Linked DNA regions of Canis lupus familiaris. The protein of the gene in region 3 purifies or fractionates together with the protein of the main gene of each other region. This does not show direct contact. Links are inferred from orthologs where the notes say so. Each region holds a gene or a part of one and is shown on either strand. Other genes may lie near its edges.

Region 1 (4,273 bases), on a different chromosome or scaffold from region 3:
GATGTTAGAAAGTTCATTTAATCTATGCTACAGAAATTACACAGGCATTTCACTGTAATCCGAGTCCTTAGAGGCAAAGCTATAATAAAGTTATCTTGTAGTATTTACAATTTGTTTTCAAGATTGATTCTAGTCTAACCACCCACTGGACAATGGACAATATCTCTATGTGGCTGTTTAACTTAAATTGAATACTTTTATTGTCAGGAAGCTTACCACAGCTTACCAAAGCTTCCAAGGTACTTTATTCTTTTTTTGGATATATCTCTTCCCAAGTTTTTCACATGAGCTAAACTGTCTCTTTTAATCTTAAAGTTTTTTCCTCCAGATTACAGAAAAATAGTTTTTCTCTTCCAGATGAGAAATGTTTGAGAGCTGTTCACATATTGAAAGTATTCCTGTTCCCTAAGACTTTTGTTAAGTCAGCAAAATGCTTTCAAAGGATTCTAAGATGAAGTTTATGTTTCATAAATTCCATGGAACAAATAGTGAGGTGCCAATTCATTAATCCAGGTTTAAATGATATAGTACATGTAAATGTACAATGCCACCCATGAAGCACTCTAGAAACATAAGCACAATAACTGGGTCTCCCAAATTAAAGCATAAGCAATCAAAGTGTAGAAACTATGCCATGTATTTTTTTTAAAACCATACTTCTAACATAATATGATGCTACGTAATTCAGTTTAATAAAGGTTTCTGTCTGCTACATGCCAGGTACTGTGTTAGGTATAAAAGAAGAATCCATGCTCCCTATAATCAAGGAGCTTATAGTTTAGTGAAAGTACAATAATAACCAACCAAGTATTTACTGAGTACCTTCAGCACTACCTTGCATTATGTTTGGTGGAAAAACTAGGCATCCATTAATCTTGCAAAGACATCTTGGGGCAGGTGGGGTGAGGAACCTACCTTAGTCCCACTCAAAGAAAAAAAGCTCCTGAGCAGCCCCTTACCCCCTGCTTTCTAATCATATCCTTACAAGATACAGCAAAATCAACAGCAAATGTGAGAAATATGAAAGACAAGCTTAGTTTTCTTCAAAAACAAGTGAACAATTTAAAATAATTAGAGATTTCAATCTCATTCATTCAGAATTTATTCACTAAAGTTTCTTACTGCAGAGTGAGACTGGTGAGCTTTCAGGACAGGCTCAGCATCCACAGCCTTTTTGGCAACCATTAATTGTAACATCTGTTTCCGGTACTTGCTCATGATGAGTTCCAAAGCATCCTGGTGTTCCTCCAAGGAAACCCATAGCTCTACCAAAAAAAATAAAATCACTTGGCAGTGATGTCTGAGAGATAGCTCCCAAAGCCAAAACTCTTTTAACAGAATTTTATGACACGCCATGAAATACCATGAATACAAAATTATAAATCAGTGTTTAAGTCCACAAAACTCAACAGTTAGGTCTATGTGAAAAATAACTTTCTAGGCAGAGGCAGCTTCATCTGGTATAAACAACATGAGATGTAGAATCAGGAGACAAGGGTTTCAGTTCAGTTCTGTGAGTTACTAGCTTACTACTACACTTATGCAAATTATTACCCTCTCTGAGCCTATTTCTTAACTGCACTGTAATATTAAGTACCAGCTTATCTACCTCAAAATGAAGATATGATAATACAATGGGATAATATAAATGAAAGCGCACTGTAAACTACTATACAAATAACTTCATACCGCTATTATTAATAATGTACACATCAAGCCTGAGAATATATACCCCGAGGCTAAAATTCAGTTCTTCCACCCTGCACAAGAACATTAAAAAAAAAAAAAAAACCCTCTTCAATCTTAGCGTCAGTGCTTATTTCAATTAATATTTGAACATAAAAAAATCCAAGCCCTTGAGGATATTAACACCTTGTTATGCAAGTATCCATATGGGGATAAAAAAGTAAACCATGCAACAATTCAACTCCACTAAGCTCCCCTTTGATAAGCTTGCCTATATATGCAAAGTCAGTCAGATGACCTTAAAGTAACAAACTTTATCGTTACTGGGCCATCGCAGGATAACGCTTTTAAAAGTACTGATCTGGAGATACATATAGGATGTGAATAGTTCGTTTGGCAAGAACTTTTGAAATATAACTGGATGTTAGAAAATCATAACTACACAAAAAGTCCTGACTAACCTCTGTTTTCCTGCTGCAAGTCTCTAATCTGTGTATTCTCTTGGGACAGCAGAATGTGAGGTTTGAATTTGGACATGTCCTTTATATCGGATGCATCTTCTTGATACTGGACAAACAGAGACAGACTAAGCGCGCCGTTAACAGGAGAACAGCCGCGGATGCAACTGAAGAAGGAGTCGGAGCTCCAGGGCAGCACGCTCAGCCCCGACCCCGAAGGAAAGTCTCACCGCCACCCTCTGAAACCAGGCATACGTTTAAGGCCGAGTTCCCGCTTTCCTTTGCCCTCCACCCCTCGGGTGCACAGATCCTGCGGGCACCGACCCCTACTCTCTGCCCGACCTGGTCCGGAAGCGCCGTCCCCGCCTCCCGCATAGCGGCCACCCGCCGGTGCAGCGCGGCGGACTGATCCACGAGCGACTCTGCGGCCGCGTCGTGTTCCCGTAGCCGCTCGAGCAGCGTCTTGGCGTCTGTCAGGATCTTCTCGATGGTGCAGCTCATAGTGGCCCCGGATCCTTGCTCCCGTCCTGCTCACCTACACTACTCTTCCCTGAACCTGGCTCAGCGTTATCGACGTCACTTCCGGCCGCCCTATGCGCCTGCGCAGTGGGGCCTAGTCCGCGGGTGGCCCTACTTGAACCAGCGGCTTCCGGCAGCCCGGCCGGCCCCGCCCTCGGCTTCCGGCTCCCGCGGTGATCGAGGTGGCGTGTGGCTGGGCGACCCGGGTTTCTTCCTTCCCTGTGGGTTTTGATTGATGGGGATTGTTTTTCAGTCACCGGATTTTAAAATCTTTTTTTGGTGCTTAGTCTCTTTTTAAAATTAATTTTAAAAACTACGGTAAAATACAATAAAATGCACCATCTTAACCATTTTGACACGTACACTCCGGTAGTATTAAGGGGCTTTCTCTGTTACGCAATCGTCCCCACATCCATTTCCAGAACTCTCTTCACCTTGCCAAATGGAAACTCTTAACCCGTTAAATATTAACTACTTATTCCTCCCAGCCACTGGCAGCCACTCTTCTGCTTTCTGCCTTTAGGAATTTCACTATTTCGGATACCTTATATACAGTGAGTGGTGCCACTGTCAATCATATTTGTTGTTTTGTGACTAGCTTATTTCACAGAACGTGTCCTCGAGTTCTGTCCGTGCACATCAGAATTTCCTTCCTGTTTAAGACTGAATTATATCCCATTATATGGGATATAAAATATTAATTATACCCCATTGTATGTCTATGGTATGTTTTGTTTATCCATCCACTGAAGGAATCCCAGCTTTCAGTTCTTTTGGCTATGTACCCAAAAGTGGAATTGCTGGGTCATATGGTAAATCTACCTTGGATTTTTTGAGAAAAGATCATCCTGTTTTCCACAGTGGCTGCACCATTTTACATTTTTTAGCAGCAGTGCGCAAGGGTTCTAATTTCTCCAAGTCCTTGCCCACACCTGGTGTTTTCTGTTGTTGTTAATGATGATCATCTTAATGGGTGTGAGATAGTCATTATTTTCTACTTGCCTATTTTTTCTCTCTTAATTCAATTAATAACTTAAAAGTAAATTAACCAGGGGGCACCTGGGTGGCTCAGTGGTTGAGCGTCTGCCTTTGACTCAGGGCGTGATCACAGGGTCCTGGAATGGAGTCCGACATTGGGCTCCCTGCAGGGAACCTGCCCCTCTGCCCGGGTCTCTGCCTCTGTGTCTCTCATGAATAAATAAATAAAATATTAAAAAAATAAATTAACCAAAAAGGCAATGACCTTTGTACTATTTGTTATATTGGTTTATAAGAGTTTACTTTGTCAAGCTTGTATATCAAACTTCATCCTTTTTCATTCTTACTTTAATAAGTATTTTTGGAGGGTCTGCTTTGTTACAGGCACTGTTTAGTGTCTAGAACATGGCAGACAATGACACAGGGTATCTGCACTTAAGGAATTAATATTCTAATGGGAGAAAGAGTTCATACTCAAATAATTGAAGGTAATGACAGATTAGGGGGCAAGAGCCTCAGAGCAGTAGTGAGAGTTTAGAGAAGCAGCAGGAAAAGAACAGTGCATTTTACTTTTGTATTCCCAATAGCTGGCACAATGGAGACATTCAATAACTGTTTCTCAAGATGGAGAT
Region 2 (4,270 bases), on a different chromosome or scaffold from region 3:
GTCACCCCTTCCCCCTGCCTACCTCCCCTTCCACTACCCTTTGTTTCTCAGAGTTAGAAGTCTCTCATGTTCTGTCTCCCTCTCTGATATTTCCCACTCATTTTCTCTCCTTTCCCCTTTATTCCCTTTCACTATTTTTATATTCCCCAAATGAATGAGACCATATAATGTTTGTCCTTCTCTGATTGACTTACTTCACTCAGCATAATAGCCTCCAGTTCTATTCACGTTGAAGCAAATGGTCAACCAAGTTTAATTTTAACTAAAATCCAATGAACTATGCCTTCCCAAAGAGTATATTTTATGGTATGTGAATTATATCTCAATAGTAATAAAAGAGTATGTGCAAAAGAAATGAAAAAATTTTTTAAATAAATGTGAATCTAACTTTAAAGCCTACACTTTTATTCTCAAGGCATTTTGCTGAGTGACTTAGTAACATAATTCATTATAACATTACTGGTTTTTAGCTTTATTTGTCAAACTCCTTTGTTTTTTACAATCATACGTTCTTAATAATCTTAAAATTATATATCTTACCTTCATTCTCTTTTATTTTATAAAGATTTTATTTATTTATTAAAGAGAGAGAGAGAGAAGGGGAGTGGCAGGCAGAGGGAGAGGGAGAAGCAGGCTCCCCAATGAGCAGAGAGCCCAATGTGGGGCTCCATCCCAGGATCCTGAGACCTAAGCCAAAGGCAGCTGCTTAGCCCACTGAGCCACCTCAGGACCCCACCTTTGTTCTCTTGTTGCAGTTCTCTGATTTGTCTGTTTTCTTGCTGGATTCCCATAACTAATGTGGACCGTGGCCGATGCCTTGCAACTTCATTAAGTTCTTGAATTTCCTCCTGATACTAATGAAAAGATCAAAAAAGAACATGTTGGGAGAAAATATTTGAAAATACATATCTCAATATATATAAGGGCCTAATCCAGAATATATAAAGAATTCTTAACAACTCTCAATAATAATAATAATTTAATGATGATGTATTAAAAATGGGCAAACGATGAGTAAGTTCTGGAGAATCTAATGTATAGCAGGATGACTATAATTCTACCCCCACGTATATACCCAAGATAACTGAAAATATAGGTCTACACAGAAATTTGTACACAAATATTCACAGCAGTATTATTCATAACAGCCCCCAAATAGAAATAATCCAAATGTCCCATCAACTGATGAATGGATAGACACAATGCACTATATCCTTATGATGGAATATTATTCAGCAATAAAAAGGAATAAAAAACTTAAAACATGCTATAATATGGATGAACCTCAAGAACATTACATTTAAAAAAGTTACAAAAAGCCACATATTGTATGATTCCATTCACATGAAATATCCCAAAGAGACAAATCTATAGAGATAGAAAGATTAGTTGCCAGGGGCTGAGGGAAGGGAGAGCTAGGGAATACCTAGCTTGCTAATGGAGGTAAGCTTTTGGGGTGAGGAGAATGTTCTGGAATTAGATAGTGATTGTGGTTGCGCAACCTATGAATGTACTAAAATCCAATGAACTATGCCCTTTAGGAGGGTAAACTATATGGGTATTGTGAATTATATCTCAATAACAATAGCAAAAGAACATGTAAAAAAGAAATAAAAAACCTAGAAATAAATGTGAATCTAACTTTAAAATTGTACTCCTTCATTTTCAAGGCATTTTGATGTGCTGCTTAGTAATGTATTCATTATAACATTTCTGGTTCTTTAGTTGTCAAACTCCTTTGTTTTTATGACTCAGTACCAGATATTAGTTCCTTGGAATGCATGAGTCAAGCTGGACAGTTAGGGAGATATGTAATCTGTTTAAGGCAACAAAACAAGTAAATTTGCTCTATTATTTCCAATAGCTTTGTTAAAAGTGGTATTCCAGGGTTGCTTCCTTTTACAAAATGGATGAGTTTCACAAGAGTAGGCTATGAATATACATTTCCCCCTAAATGATTTCCATCATAAGGAGAGACTGTATAATTATCTTAAAGTTGAAAATTTTTATCATAAGTAGGCTTAAAATGGTACCTTAACCCCGTGGACCACTGGAAAATTCTTATATACAATTCTTATATAAGAAACTTCCTATGTACATTATAAGGATAATAACTGAAACCCTTTTCAATTTTTCTTTAATTGGTAGCACTAAATGGAAATTAAGGTAGGAAGTACAAATTCAACAACTGCATAATATATAAACCAGATATTGCCTTATGCCATTTTTGAAAATTCTGTTGTTAAATAACATCACCTAAGTACTTTTACAAAGAAAAATATAAACATTTCTACATTATAAAAATAAGAGAGCAAAATATATCACTATTAGTGAAAGATATTATTGGTCTCTAATATATCAGAACCTAATATATTTTCTAAACTCCAATGTGCAACTCTGCCAGAAAAACAAATAATCAAATATATGGTTTTTAGAATATACATATATATATCTGTATCACCTGGACATGACAAAATTATATGATAATCTAAAATAAAATTAAAATATACAAATCAAGTTACTTTTAAATTTTATAAAACATTAAAAAAACGGTATTAAGCAGAAATTTATGATTCAAGCAATACATAAATATCTGACTGCTTTTTTCAAAGTGGAATCCACAAGAAAGAAAAGAAATCAAACCTGCTTCATCGCTTCTACTCGCTTATTGAGAGCTGTGGTTTGCTCAATCAGAGATTCTGCTGCATCGTCATGATCTCTCAATCTTTCAACAAGAGCTTTAGCATCAGCAAGTGCCTTCTCAATTGTGCAACTCATTTCTAAAGGAATACCTATAAAATTAAAATCAAGACTCTAAACAAAGCCAGCTTATCATCTTATTATTTTAGTTTCATGTTAACATCGATATGCTTCGTAAGTTACATTTATTACAGGATTGTTCACTGGGGAGAGAAAACATGTAAGAACACTTGTGGTTTTGCTTCTGTTCGGAGGGCACAAGCTTAAAAGTAAATTTATAATATTAAAAAATTAGAGCATATATAAATGATTTGCAGACGTAATCTGCGTGTATTTAAAACACTCTGAATTTATAGTGGGGAAAAAAGTACAAATCAAGTAAATACATTTTATATTACACAGAAATTGTGTTCTTCATGAGATCATTCCCTTCTCCTGATATTTGTGAAAAAGATCACTTTATTAGTCCATACTCTGTGGTCCATGATTGTCAGTCACTAGCTATGAGATCCTTTCTAGCCTTTGCTTGGTTAAGTGACCTGAGACACCAACCATTTCACAACTCACACTTATTGACCAGCTAAAGTCGTCTCTATGTGTCATACTATGTCAGAGTGTCCTTCAGAGTGTCCTTCTTTTGAAGGAACTACTTTTTAAAAAAAAATGTTTTTAAGATTTCACTTATTTGAAAAAGAGAAAGAGGGAGAAAACACACATGCGTAAGAACATAAGCAGCGGGGAGGGGCAGAGGGAGAAACAGACTCCCTGCTGAGCAGGGAAACCCATACAGGAATTCCATCCCAGGATCCAGGAGTCATGACCTGAGCAGAAGGCAGATGTTTAACTGACTGAGCCAGTCAGGCATCCTGACTGAAGGAAATACTTTTTTTTTTTTTTTTAAAGACTTTTACCAAAAAGTAAAAATAAATAAATAAATATTTTATTTATTTATTCATGAGAGACACGGAGAGAGAGGCAGAGACACAGGCAGAGGGAGAAGCAGGCTCCATGCAGGGAGCCCGCCCACATGGGACTCCAGGATCATGCCCTGAGCCAAAGGCAGGCTTGCTCAACTGCTGAGCCACCCAGGCATCGCTGGAGGAAATACTTCATATATGAAGTATTATAATCCTAAGTCTTGTGCTTTCCTTATTAAGTGGTTAAAAAAATATATGACTTAGAACACCAGCCATACGGGAAATTTTTGATATGTTAAAAATCAATAAATAATGTGTTTAAGAAGAGCTAAAAAAATTAGCAGAAAAATACGAAACACTCAACAGTTAGCTTCTTCATTTAGTACTGAGACCTCAAAACAAAATCTTAATTTTAAAATAATCTCTTTCAAAGACTTCAATCTTCTGAAACTTAATCTTTGGATTTTTCTCGTTGTAAGGTAAGTTTTACCTTACCTTCTATATGAGCCATCCTTTCTTCAGGGTTTTCTCTAAAAGTAAAATCACACTGTAAATTTACTAGGCCAGAAGCCAGGTCTATAGAAGTTAAATTAAAACTCTGGTATGGATCCAAGCTAAGGGCTATAATTAAGAATTTCATCAACTTTAGGAAG
Region 3 (4,283 bases):
TTTTTATTTCTTTAAATATTCATTTTAAGTGAATCGATGGCTCTCAAAATGTCCATCCTTCCGCTTACATATTATCATATTTCCACAAAATCAAAGCCTGCACTGTCCCTTCTGATGACAGAAGAGAGTGCAAGCTACAACAGAAGAATTTAGAGGATAAACCCCAGATAGGAGAAGCCACATCGTCTGTTCTCTAGGCTTACTACTGCCTCTCTCAGGAAGCAATACTTTCTACCTATGAAGTTTTCGTTTCCACAAGAGTCATTTTAGAATTTTTGTCCACTGATTTTTAACATTTCCAAAACACCACCTTGGAAGATACTATATTGCTAAGGTCAGTAAAACAGGCATATGTCAAAGGACATGAACACAAGGGACAGACTTCCGCTCTCTTAGTGGTGTGACTAGAGTGCCCTACAGCATCTAAAATGGTCCCATTATGGACTGGAAAACCATTTGCTGTGCTCTTTTATCCTACTCACAGAATCAGATGAAATCCAGGACAATTTGTGGTGTTGAGTCACTGTTTACTTACCTAGAATTCTTCAAAGTCAAATGTAGATAAACTAGTTCACTAAGCACCATTATCAGTTCCAGCAGGGTTTTTTTTAACATTAAATTAAACTACATTTGATAACTGAAAATATCAAAAGGCTAAGATTCTCAGGTCGGCACAAGGTTTTACAAAAAACCATGCTAAGGTTAGGTAAGTCCACAGTTGTTGTTGTAATACCTTCATAAGAAATGTGTCTCTGATGACCAAGTTCCAATCAGACGTGCTTTTTTCTTGGAAAGGAACTTCAACAAACATTTTAACCAAAAGATATTTCTATAGGTGACATTGAAGATAAGACTATCAGAGCCAGGTGCCTTTGGAATCAAAGGAACATTTCTCCCTCCTCCGACAGCCTGCTGTGCTACTGACATCCTCTCCACGCCCTGCTCTGACTCGGTCAAGTACTACACCATGGAAAACCACATTCTTACTATCAAGCCTTACCTTCAGATAGGAGCCATAATATTTGGTTACGTAGGGACTGTCACACTGACTCAGCACTGTGATTTCTTGCTGAATGTCCTCTATCTCATCTTCAGCTTCTTCCAGGTCAATGATTTTTATGGCAACCACTTTCTGAGTCCGAAGGTCAATGCCCTTGAACACTTCACCAAATGAGCCCTTTCCAATTTTCTCCAGTTTTGTAAAAAGCTCTTCTGGATCTGCTTTCAGGTTCTGTAGGAGAAAAGGAAAAGAAGAGACCTCAGTAACTCACAAGACAGGGACAGATTTTCCCGCATACTTAAAAATACACAGAACACAGTCTTCCAAGAACCGATCCATTTTCTTCATCTGAGGGTCAGGCTGGTTGTGACCACAGCTCCTCACACTTAGGACACAGGGATTTCTAAGCCTCACCTCTATGAAACACAGCAAGTATGCAAGCAAGGACAATAACCCTGATTATAAAAACTGGGAAAGGCTCCAGTATTTGCATAATTAAGTAAAAACCAAGACAAAGTGTTAGGATATATGAATTTATTGAAAAACACTCTTGTTACGCAAATATTCCACTCTCTCCCTTTGTTCCCCCTCCCCGACAAATTTTCTAAGTTTAGGTAGGCATATACTGTAACTAGTTAACTAGTACTCAATCATTTCGTAACAGGCCATGTTTAAAGTCCAGCAAATGCAGTCCTATGCATCTTCACCTTTGGCTACTACCTTGCCCTCAACATTTTAACCCAATCCTGGGAAACAATAAGAACCCGTTTTCTTTTGTCTTGTAAACATCATGCCCTTGGAAAAGCTTCTGAAAGCTCTCAATCACTAGCTAATTAGGTGAACCACATACACACAGTGTACATCTCCAAGGGGTCCAGACATAGGGACTCCAACACCCATCCTCACAGCTCCCAGACCAGAAAGGTGTGTGAGCAGCTGAGTTCTCTCAACAGGCAGCAGCCTGTCATCCCCGGGGGGTGTCAGTCACAAACTGAGGGGCGAAACTGACATTCGGCAAGAAGACTTGGGGACACTGCCTAGCTCGGCACAAATACTGCTGGCACCACTTGAAACCTCACAGAGTAAGACAGGACCCTGGGAGCCACCACCTCACACACCTCCCCTCAAAAATGCTGCTCATGAACAAGAGGATGCCAGGCCCACCCTCCATGTCTACCAGTCCTTCTAAGAAACTGAAACATGGAGAAGGAAGGAAGATGGGGAAGGAGGAGGGCTGAAAAGGGAGAGAGTATAACAGGCATGGTGGGGGGAGGGGGTCTCTGGGAGGGGGAGTGATGAGGGGATCGAGAGAGAATTACAGCAAGGTCAGCAGCACCATTAGCTAGGTGAGCCCTAGGGGCTAACCAGGCACGAGCCATTAACTTGCTTTCAAGGTGAAACACATGGAGTTCCAAGCAGTGCCTCCAGAGAAGTGCTGAAACCCAGCCCGCCCACTGCCAACGCGGAGGTGCTGCTGTGCTGCAGCGTGAACCCCACGGAAGTAGCACACCCCAGCAACACACGCACACACTAAGTCATGGGTGGTCTCACAGACCCCAGAGGCCCTGTTTTTGAGACTACACTAACCCCATCATTTAAAATGAACAAAGTAAGCAAGGAGTGCATCCCGGGGTTGCCAGGAAAAAGGGACACGAGAGAGACGTCCACATTCAGCAGCTAGAAACTCCCATCTCCAAACCCCTTCCCTCACCTCCATCCCTCCAGGATGAGGGGGGGTGGCCCTCCTCTTCTTCAAGGCCAGTCCTGAGCGCTGAGCTTTTGAATCCATCCTTCTGTCCCCTGGATACAGCTTCAGCAGCATCAGCCCCCTACACCAGAGGCCTCTTCCATTCAGCCCTCTCTACAGACCCACCACTCCTGGCAGCCTGCTCAGTTTTCTCCCATTGAGAAAAACAGAAACACTGGGCTTCCCTGGTCACCTCTCTCCTTCACGCTCTCCTTCCTTCCTTGAGAGTTCCCTGCAAGTCACCGAGACCAGCCAGGCGCCCCGCCCCTCGCTGGTCACCGCCACAGTCTGGCTCCAGCTGAGGCCACCACTGCAGTGCCTAATCTGATCCTCCTCCAAGAAGCCCTCCCTCTGGTAACTTTCCAGTCCTGGCATCTAAACCCTGCTCTCCCACTTGTCTACTCCCCATCCCCCCAGTCCCAGAGGATCTTCCTGCACAGACTCCACCCTGGCGGCTGCATCACAGGCATGCCCCTGGGGGCTCCATGCTGGCTGCCCACCCATTCTCTACTTATTCTCCTCAAACAGTTTTCATTGTTTGGGATTGTGTTCCCCAAACCTAGCTGCTCAGAATCACCTGGAACATGTGGGAGATCCCAAATCACTCTCTGTCATACATGGGGCAGGGGTGCATAATCCATATTGTTAGACACCCCAAATAGGGACACTTGGGTGGCTCAGGTCATGATCTCAGGGTCCTGGGACAGAGCCCCACATTGGGCTCCTTGCTCAGTGGGGAGTCTGCTTCTCCCTCCCCCTGCTCGTGTTCTCTCACTCTAACTAAATAAATAAAATCTTTAAAAATAAAGACTCCAATTGATTCTGATGAATAGCCACCTTTGAGGAAAAACGGTTTTAAATCATCATGTACATGGTAACTTTCAAATTGCTAACTCCAGCCCTGCTTTTTGAATTCTATTTTTTTTTTTTTTGAATTTTAACTCCTAAGATCAATTACTTGCTAAATATATATTTCTATGTGGACATCTCAAGCTCAACCTACATGAACTGCATCTGTCATTTCCCTGAACTGGCCATTCTCCTAGAGCACACAATCTCACTCACTAAAAGCTGAGGGAACTCGGGGACTGTGTCTTACTCACTTCGATACCCATGTCCCTGAGCACAATGACCGATGGCCAATAAGTGTCCCTGAGCAGTAAGAAAGCCCCAACCTTACACTGACACAAACACCATCCAGACTACATATTACGAAGAATATCAGAGGGACAGAGAGCCCGGGAAAGGGGGAGTGAGGATGGTACCATCTCCAGCTTGCAAGTGTAAGGAAGCAGTAGGAAGGGCCGTTTGGAATATGCAGGAACAGTAACTCTCAAGTCTTAGGGGCATCAGAACCACCTGGCAGGCTTGTTAGAGCACAGACTGCCTGACCCCACCCTCAGAATTTCTGGTTCAGTAAAGGTGGGGTGCGGCCCAAGAATCAGAGAGCACCCTAGTAATGCAGACGCCACTGGTCCAGAGACCACACTTTGAGAACCACAGCTCAGGAGAGCTGGGGAGAGAAGCAAAGCAGCC
Region 4 (3,513 bases), on a different chromosome or scaffold from region 3:
ATTTCAATTTGTACACTAGGAAAACAGCTTGATAGGCATTAGTAAAAATTCTTTGTTCAATTTCTTCTACATCACAAACAATAAAAAAAAAAGACCTATCATAGTGTAACTGTTTGAAAGAATGTGGCTCCCATCTACAACAGAAATAGCTAAAGGAGAATAAAGTTTTCAAGATTACAGTTTTATGCTTCTCAGAATGGATCATAAGACTTAGACTCAATATTGTTAATGAAGGAACTATGGAGTATAAATCCCAATCTGACTGTACGCCAGGCAAATTCTTAAGGGATGAGTGTGGCATCAGCCCAATATAGCTAGGAACTAAATGGCACAGAAGACTCTGTAAAGGAAGACTAACTTCTAAATACTACTTATATGCTAAAAAGGCTTGCCAAATAAAGTTAGCCACTAGACCAAAAAAAGTTTAGGAAACATAAAAAATTTATGTGAGTTTCAGCAGACAACTTTGACTAATGATATAATATATTCCACCTTCTGGGACCTAATATTTTTAAACTGTATGCTTCTAACTCATCAGGAGTTTTCTGCTTTTCAACATTTGAACAAGTCTGAAGTAATTAAAAAAAAAAAAAACAACCAGCATTTAACAACCTGCCAGATTCTAATTAATTATATCTCAGAGGGCAGCCCCGGTGGCGCAGCAGTTTAGCGCCACCTGCAGCCCGGGGTGTGATCCTGGAGACTCGGGATCGAGTCCCACGTTGGGCTTCCTGCAGGGAGCCTGCTTCTCCCTCTGCCTGTGTCTCTGCCTCTTTCTCTCTCTCTCTCTGAATGAATGAATGAATAAATAAATAAATAAATCTTAAAAAAATTATATCTCAGAAAAGAAGGATCAAGTTTATATCTTTAAAATGTCAATAATCCCAAGGCAGGAATAATTTAAGATAATCAATACTAGTAATCAAAGATCACTATTTCTTGCTTGATAGAATACCAAACTAAATGGATTAGCTAAGATTCCAAATAAGAAAAATTTGAGTGTCTGCATCATGTAATACTCATTTTAAACCAAACATTTTGTCCAAATGTGCTGCCAATACAGACAATCCCGTTGGTACATATATATATACATTCATATGTGTAAATATTCGTGTTTGGACCTTAATTTTATCCTATTCAGTTTTTAGAATTGTTTTTATAAAATTTTACATGTTATAATACGTTTACTCTTTGTTATCAGTTACCTCTAAACATTTAAAAAGTAATACATATGAATGTATGAAGAGACTGGAAAGACAGGACACTGAAAGAGAAAAGGGTTTTATAGATTTGTAACACATGGTATTGTAAAACATGGTATTGTAAAAAGGCATCTTAAAGAACAAATCACCACATCTTGTTCCTTCAACTAGTTCTTGATTGTTAAAAATGTATAATCTATTACAACTGTTATTCTTTATAAGCAGATAATGAGGCTTACTATTTTCTGATGTATCTAGTCCTTTGTTTTCTCCTAAAGCTTGTTTTTATAGGAACTGACCTTGATCACTGAGTTTCTGCTAACCCTGAGGTTCTTTAGGAGTATAAACACAAGCTAACAAGAGTAAAGACCCCCATTTCTGGTGTACTGTGAGGAAGGAGGTGGATTAATTAAGAGTGGCTTCAATAATAAACATGTATAACTTTCATATTCTGAATCAGAACATAAATAGTGTTTAAATAAAAATATGGAATGGATCACATTTTTAAGGAAAAAAATAGATTTTAAACTATACAACAAACGTTGGTGGGAAAACAGGACTCCACTAAATTTGCTGGAATAAATTTTTGCATTCCTTGGTTTGCTTATAAGGTACTGGATATTAGAAAAACATAACTAGTTTTGGAGAGTTCTTGATTTTATATATATCTGTGAAATTCAAAAGCTGAATTTGTATCTTCCAATGGTATAAATTCTTTATTATAGTCATCTCCTGATTCCCTTACAAACAGAAGGAATCACTGGCTTGAAAGAAAAACAACTTATATTTGAAGTTTTTACCATTTAGTTTATAGGACTAATTCAATCATGAAGTATAGATATTTGCTGTTTTTTGTTTAGGGCTTTGGTGGGGGTGGGGGGCTGTAGTCCACGAATGTGTATTCCTTGAGTACATCAAAAGGAAAGGAAATGTAGGATGACAGTGAAAGTTAAAAAACAAAAAAAGTTCCCCAAAACACACAACCTGCAGTATTGTTAGCATGCTTAACCTGTTAAAATAGCCAAAAAGAGTCTAGCTGAACATTTTGCTCCAAAAGGGTATTTAAGTATCAAATTTAAATTTAATTTAGATGAAAATTTAAGATAAAGAAATATTCTGAAGCTAAAAGAGTTCTTGCATACTTGTGCAATTCTTTTTCTTGCCGCTGCAGTTCTGATGATAACAAAACATTTTCCTTTTTTAGAGAATGGCATTCGGTTTCCAATACATTCCATTCCTTTCTCAACTTCTCTAGTTCACCTAAAATAGTCCCAAAACATATTCATTAATATAGGAACAAAATTTCCATAATAATTTAGGGGATAAGGGAAATATTTCGGAGAAAAACGTACTTGCCCCCTCCCTTAAGAACATGTAGATTTTACATGGCTATTCTTTGGTTCCTGTTTATTTTGCATCTATACCTCAGGTGAATCTCATCACCTTGAATTTGAAGTAATATTTTCTTCCCATTTCACTTTTATAAGACAAATAATTTCAGTAGTATTAAAGTAAAATATAAAATTATAAATATTTCAGTTTATTGTAGAATTTGCAAACCTGAAGAATGTTTATAGCCCCAATATAAAAACATTGCTTTATACAACTAAATTGTTATCAAAGAGAAAAAAGCCCAAATGATTATTTTGTGCAAGTTTTATAACTGTAAGTAATCACTGTCAAGAGTTAAGAGCTTTATGTAAAATATGTGCACTCACTTTGTAGCCTTGTTGCTTCCTCTCTCTGCTGGTCCTCACACTGCTGACATCGAAGCTGAAAACTATTCTGCAGACTCGTGATTTCTTTCTCATATTCAGATGCTGCTTTCCGCCACCGCTCAAGCTCACCTCGCACCTTCTTAAGCTCTTCTTGTAATGAGGCAATGTCAGTGTCCCGCTCAGAGGCAGCCTTTTCTGCTGCTTGATGAAGGAGCAAAATTTCATCTCGGGCACTAAGCAGTTCATCTCGAGTGCTTGTAATTTCACTGTCCTTCTCCTCCCGGAGATTCTCAATATTGATGTGTAACCTCTGTAGTTGGGCTGCAAAAGTATATTTATCCATCATTTTCTTTGTCCAAAGCGATTACAAATAAATGAACTGCCCAAATGGGATTATAGTTACTACACAGCCCATGCTGTCAGAGCTGTTTGTTGCTTTTGATTAAGCAGTCCAAGCAATCCAAGTTTAATGCAGAAAATGTCAAAATACCGAAATACAAAGAGTAAAAAACCAAAGTGATCTTTTTATTTCTCCCACACAGTGAAAGTTGCTTCTAGCATTTGGTATTTATTCTTCTAGATTTTTTTAAAAG
Region 5 (3,513 bases), on a different chromosome or scaffold from region 3:
ACTCTAAAAGGATTCTTCTAGAGTCCAGAAACTCTGGGGGCTGATTCCTCTGAACCACAAAGGGAAACAGTACAGCCTGGCTGTGAAGACTGTAAACTCTGGAACCAACTGTACAACTGTGTCTGCTAACTATGCAACCCTGAAAAGTTACTTTAATTTTCTGTGTTCGTTTCCTACTATATCACACAGGGTTTCTACCTCATGAGGGTATTGTGAAGACCAAAGCACTTCTTACATGTAAACCTCTTAAAACAGGCTGAGAAAAATTACATACTTAATGTAGGTGCTCCTTAATTGTTCTTATTTCTACTCCCAAAAAGATACAGACCCTTGGATTTAAAATTGCTATTATGCAAAGTCAGCCTATATACTCATCCAGAGGATAGAGAGGGTCAAACAGCCTTCTTAACAGACACTATACTTGAAAGTCAAAAATTCCAGGCAACTCCTCCTCCCATGACTGGCTGCTATGAGCAAAAAAGGTATGTTACCCCTTAACGTAGATTTGGTTTTCCCTTCTAATGTGGCTCCCATTTCCTTTTTTCTTTTAAAAAAGAATTTATTTGACAGAGAGAAAGAGAACACAAGCGCACAAGCAGGGGGAAGGGCAGAGAGAGAGGGAGAAGCAGGCTCCACGCTGAGCAGGAACCCTGTGATCATGATCTGAGCTGAAGGCAGATGCTTAACCGACTGAGCCACCCAGGCACCCTCCCATGTCTTCTTTGACTCTTCTTTTAACCGCTGCTAATATAACAGAAAATCATGGTCTGGTTAAGAAAGAAATATAAGGACACTGAGATGGGTCATATTAAACTTTATCTAGCCCAGAATTAAGCATCAATTTGGCAAAAAGGATCTTAACAAGAGAATCAACACTCCCCAAAGAAATCCTTAAAATGTCAGAAGAGAGGACTATATCGATGTACTTTAAATAGTAAAGGCTAACTTACCTGTTCATCTGAAGCTAGATTTGTGAACAGTGGAACAATTTCACTTTTCACACTGTCTAATTCCAAAACTTTTGCAAATTCGCCCAGTTTGGAAGCGGCAGCACGTCGTACCATTGGAGTGTCATCTGAGCACAAGGAACGGAAGTGCCTGGGGCAAACAAAATAATGAAGGTATTTCCTCTCAAATACCATGGATTAAACACCCCCCAACACGCACACACACACACATACCTAAATACACACACACACACACACACACACACAGGGCCATTTTAGAGGTTTTCTCTTACAAACATCAGTGCTTAGGCTTTGACTCACAGAAGTAACAAGTATAAACAAAACCACTAGTATATTCAACTTAATGATAAAAAGTCATGTTACCACATCTGCTATCCTATCAGCCACTCACTGGTAACAGGGTATTATTGTGTAAATTGTCAGCTATGAGTTCCCAGTAATCCCAAATAACAGAGAAAACATCATATCTTACTGTCTAATCTCTGCCTTGACAGCATTTGAAGCCCTGGGATAGCAAACGCTGAACAAACCACATGCAGATGTGCGAGAAGTGAACCAATCACCACTCGCCAGGCGTTTCACCAGAGGTACAAAATGTGCTTCCAAAGCAACAGGAGTATGCTCCTGGGAGATCTGCCTCAGGGACTCCACAGCTTTGTCTCGAACCACAGTCTCTTCCACAGTTGCCAAACTTTCCAAAGGAGGCTGAATAGATCAAAAAGGAAAATCAGAGAAGAAAACTTACTGAATCAGGTTAGCTACACATTATCACCTTTTAAAGTGACTGAAGGGAGGTGGTACATGTAACCAGAATGTTAGCTACATCACACCAAATGGTTACTTTCAGTTCACACAGTGATAACATATGGTGCGTCCAACCTGAAGACACGACTTCTGTAGGACAGCCAAGATCTCATGTCCCAGATGGCAATTCCCAGATGGTGTCTACAAATGACACAGTAGAGACTTGACACAATATTAATATTACCACGAGCTGAATGACTAGGTTTAAAAGATATGTAGCCAAATTCAGATAAGATCATGTTTATTTCCTCAAGAGTGAGTGCAGAAACATGAGCAACACTGAGCACCACAATTACATGATGACATCCCAGCAGGCCACTGACCTACAGTCTCTGGAGTATTATTTGACCATTCCTGGAAATGCAGGCAACCCTTGTGCACTAGAGCCACACCATCAACTTATCTAACATATGAAAGAATACATACAGAATCTTGTGAGGAAGATACAAAGCAGGAGTTGGAGAACAATGGAGAGTATAGACCTGGTAGGAACCCTTGTCTACAGCTGCAGAGACCAGGAGGGTCGGTCTGGACTAGGATGAGTAAGTGAATATGACACAGCCCCATGAAAAGAGCAAGAGGGCTGGTCCTCTGAACCTCGACCTGGGTTTGCATCTGAGCTAGGTATATTCAGCATATGCCATGAGCTGCAAATATTCAACACAAAATCCACATACAGAACTGACCAAGAGATGAAACAGAATTATGAATCAAAGGAAAGTGTGTCTACCTAATAATACATTTCAAAAATCATTTGATACACAGAAGTAGAAAGTACTGAGCTTTCCTAAAAGGTATTTCACAAGCCATTTGAGAAGATACTGTGTTCTTACTCACTTGTGACTGCCTCACGATCTACCATTGCCTTCCCCAAGCTCCTCTCGTATAGCATCACTGGATAGTCTCTGTCACCACTATACAGTAAGGCCAACCTCCTGACAATCAACGAGGAGTTTTCTCTGAATCTGAACTCTGCCTGTTTCTCCCGGCTCTCTCCCTGTGGCCTCCCCTACCATCCTTCATATGCCAGCTCAACATCCAGCAAGGCAACCTGTTTCACACTTTGAAACCCCTGAATCAATGAATAATTACTGCTATACTGTAGCACTGAGGACAGAGAAAAAACAAGGCAGACAGGATCCTTGCTCTAGGGGGCTCTACAGTCTAGTGGAGGAAGATAACCGATCAAGAAAACAATCATATGGTGAGGAGTATTCTGTGAAGAAATAGAATAGGATGATGTGGTAAGGGGATGACTGGGAGGCAATTTCAGGTTAGGCATTCACGGAAGGCCTCTCTGAGAAGATGCACTGAAGTTGGTTCTGAATGACAAGGAACTAGCCACCAGAAGCTCAAAGAACAGCAGAAGGAATACCTAGGCCAATAATAAGGCAATAATAAGCTTGGTTTCTTCAAAGAACAAAAACACCACCACTATAAATAGAATGAAGTTCTCAAGAGGAACATGACATGAGATAAATTCACAGAGATAGTTTGTCCCTTAATTTACAGAACCTAAGGCAGGAATTTGGATTTTCAAAGAGCTGAGACGGGAAGTATCCACTTGCTGGGTGAAGAGCGAACCAGAAGGATTGGGTAGAAGGCAACTGTCAAGATGTTACTGGAGTAATCTAGAGGAAAGATTTTGAGATCTGGGGAGAGGAAAGGAAAGAAGAGCTAGGTAATAGTGGGAAGAAGGAAAGTGAACTGATTTGGAATATGTACAGAAGCCATAGGAATT

The links.
Region 1: the proteins of STK24 (region 3) and SIKE1 purify together in Homo sapiens (affinity purification with mass spectrometry; 4 studies listed by BioGRID and IntAct, with this or other methods). This does not show direct contact. The link is inferred for Canis lupus familiaris from reciprocal best matches to the Homo sapiens genes STK24 and SIKE1.
Region 2: the proteins of STK24 (region 3) and FGFR1OP2 purify together in Homo sapiens (affinity purification with mass spectrometry; 4 studies listed by BioGRID and IntAct, with this or other methods). This does not show direct contact. The link is inferred for Canis lupus familiaris from reciprocal best matches to the Homo sapiens genes STK24 and FGFR1OP2.
Region 4: the proteins of STK24 (region 3) and SLMAP purify together in Homo sapiens (affinity purification with mass spectrometry; 6 studies listed by BioGRID and IntAct, with this or other methods). This does not show direct contact. The link is inferred for Canis lupus familiaris from reciprocal best matches to the Homo sapiens genes STK24 and SLMAP.
Region 5: the proteins of STK24 (region 3) and PPP2R1B purify together in Homo sapiens (affinity purification with mass spectrometry; 3 studies listed by BioGRID and IntAct, with this or other methods). This does not show direct contact. The link is inferred for Canis lupus familiaris from reciprocal best matches to the Homo sapiens genes STK24 and PPP2R1B.

The regions. Positions count from the first base shown.
Region 1 is NC_049238.1:53,000,190-53,004,462, forward strand, and holds the start of SIKE1 (suppressor of IKBKE 1), read right to left. Parts: upstream 2,806-4,273; 5' UTR 2,646-2,805; coding exon 2,487-2,645; intron 2,254-2,486; coding exon 2,148-2,253; intron 1,266-2,147; coding exon 1,123-1,265; intron 1-1,122.
Region 2 is NC_049248.1:25,863,843-25,868,112, reverse strand, and holds the start of FGFR1OP2 (FGFR1 oncogene partner 2), read right to left. Parts: upstream 2,808-4,270; 5' UTR 2,779-2,807; coding exon 2,644-2,778; intron 855-2,643; coding exon 737-854; intron 1-736. UniProt on the Homo sapiens protein: May be involved in wound healing pathway.
Region 3 is NC_049243.1:48,811,172-48,815,454, forward strand, and holds the start of STK24 (serine/threonine-protein kinase 24), read right to left. Parts: upstream 2,805-4,283; 5' UTR 2,790-2,804; coding exon 2,712-2,789; intron 1,232-2,711; coding exon 1,001-1,231; intron 1-1,000. UniProt on the Homo sapiens protein: Serine/threonine-protein kinase that acts on both serine and threonine residues and promotes apoptosis in response to stress stimuli and caspase activation.
Region 4 is NC_049241.1:32,860,700-32,864,212, forward strand, and holds part of SLMAP (sarcolemmal membrane-associated protein), read right to left. Parts: intron 3,242-3,513; coding exon 2,921-3,241; intron 2,463-2,920; coding exon 2,345-2,462; intron 1-2,344. UniProt on the Homo sapiens protein: Associates with the striatin-interacting phosphatase and kinase (STRIPAK) core complex, forming the extended (SIKE1:SLMAP)STRIPAK complex.
Region 5 is NC_049226.1:21,360,410-21,363,922, reverse strand, and holds part of PPP2R1B (serine/threonine-protein phosphatase 2A 65 kDa regulatory subunit A beta isoform), read right to left. Parts: intron 1,674-3,513; coding exon 1,441-1,673; intron 1,099-1,440; coding exon 951-1,098; intron 1-950. UniProt on the Homo sapiens protein: The PR65 subunit of protein phosphatase 2A serves as a scaffolding molecule to coordinate the assembly of the catalytic subunit and a variable regulatory B subunit.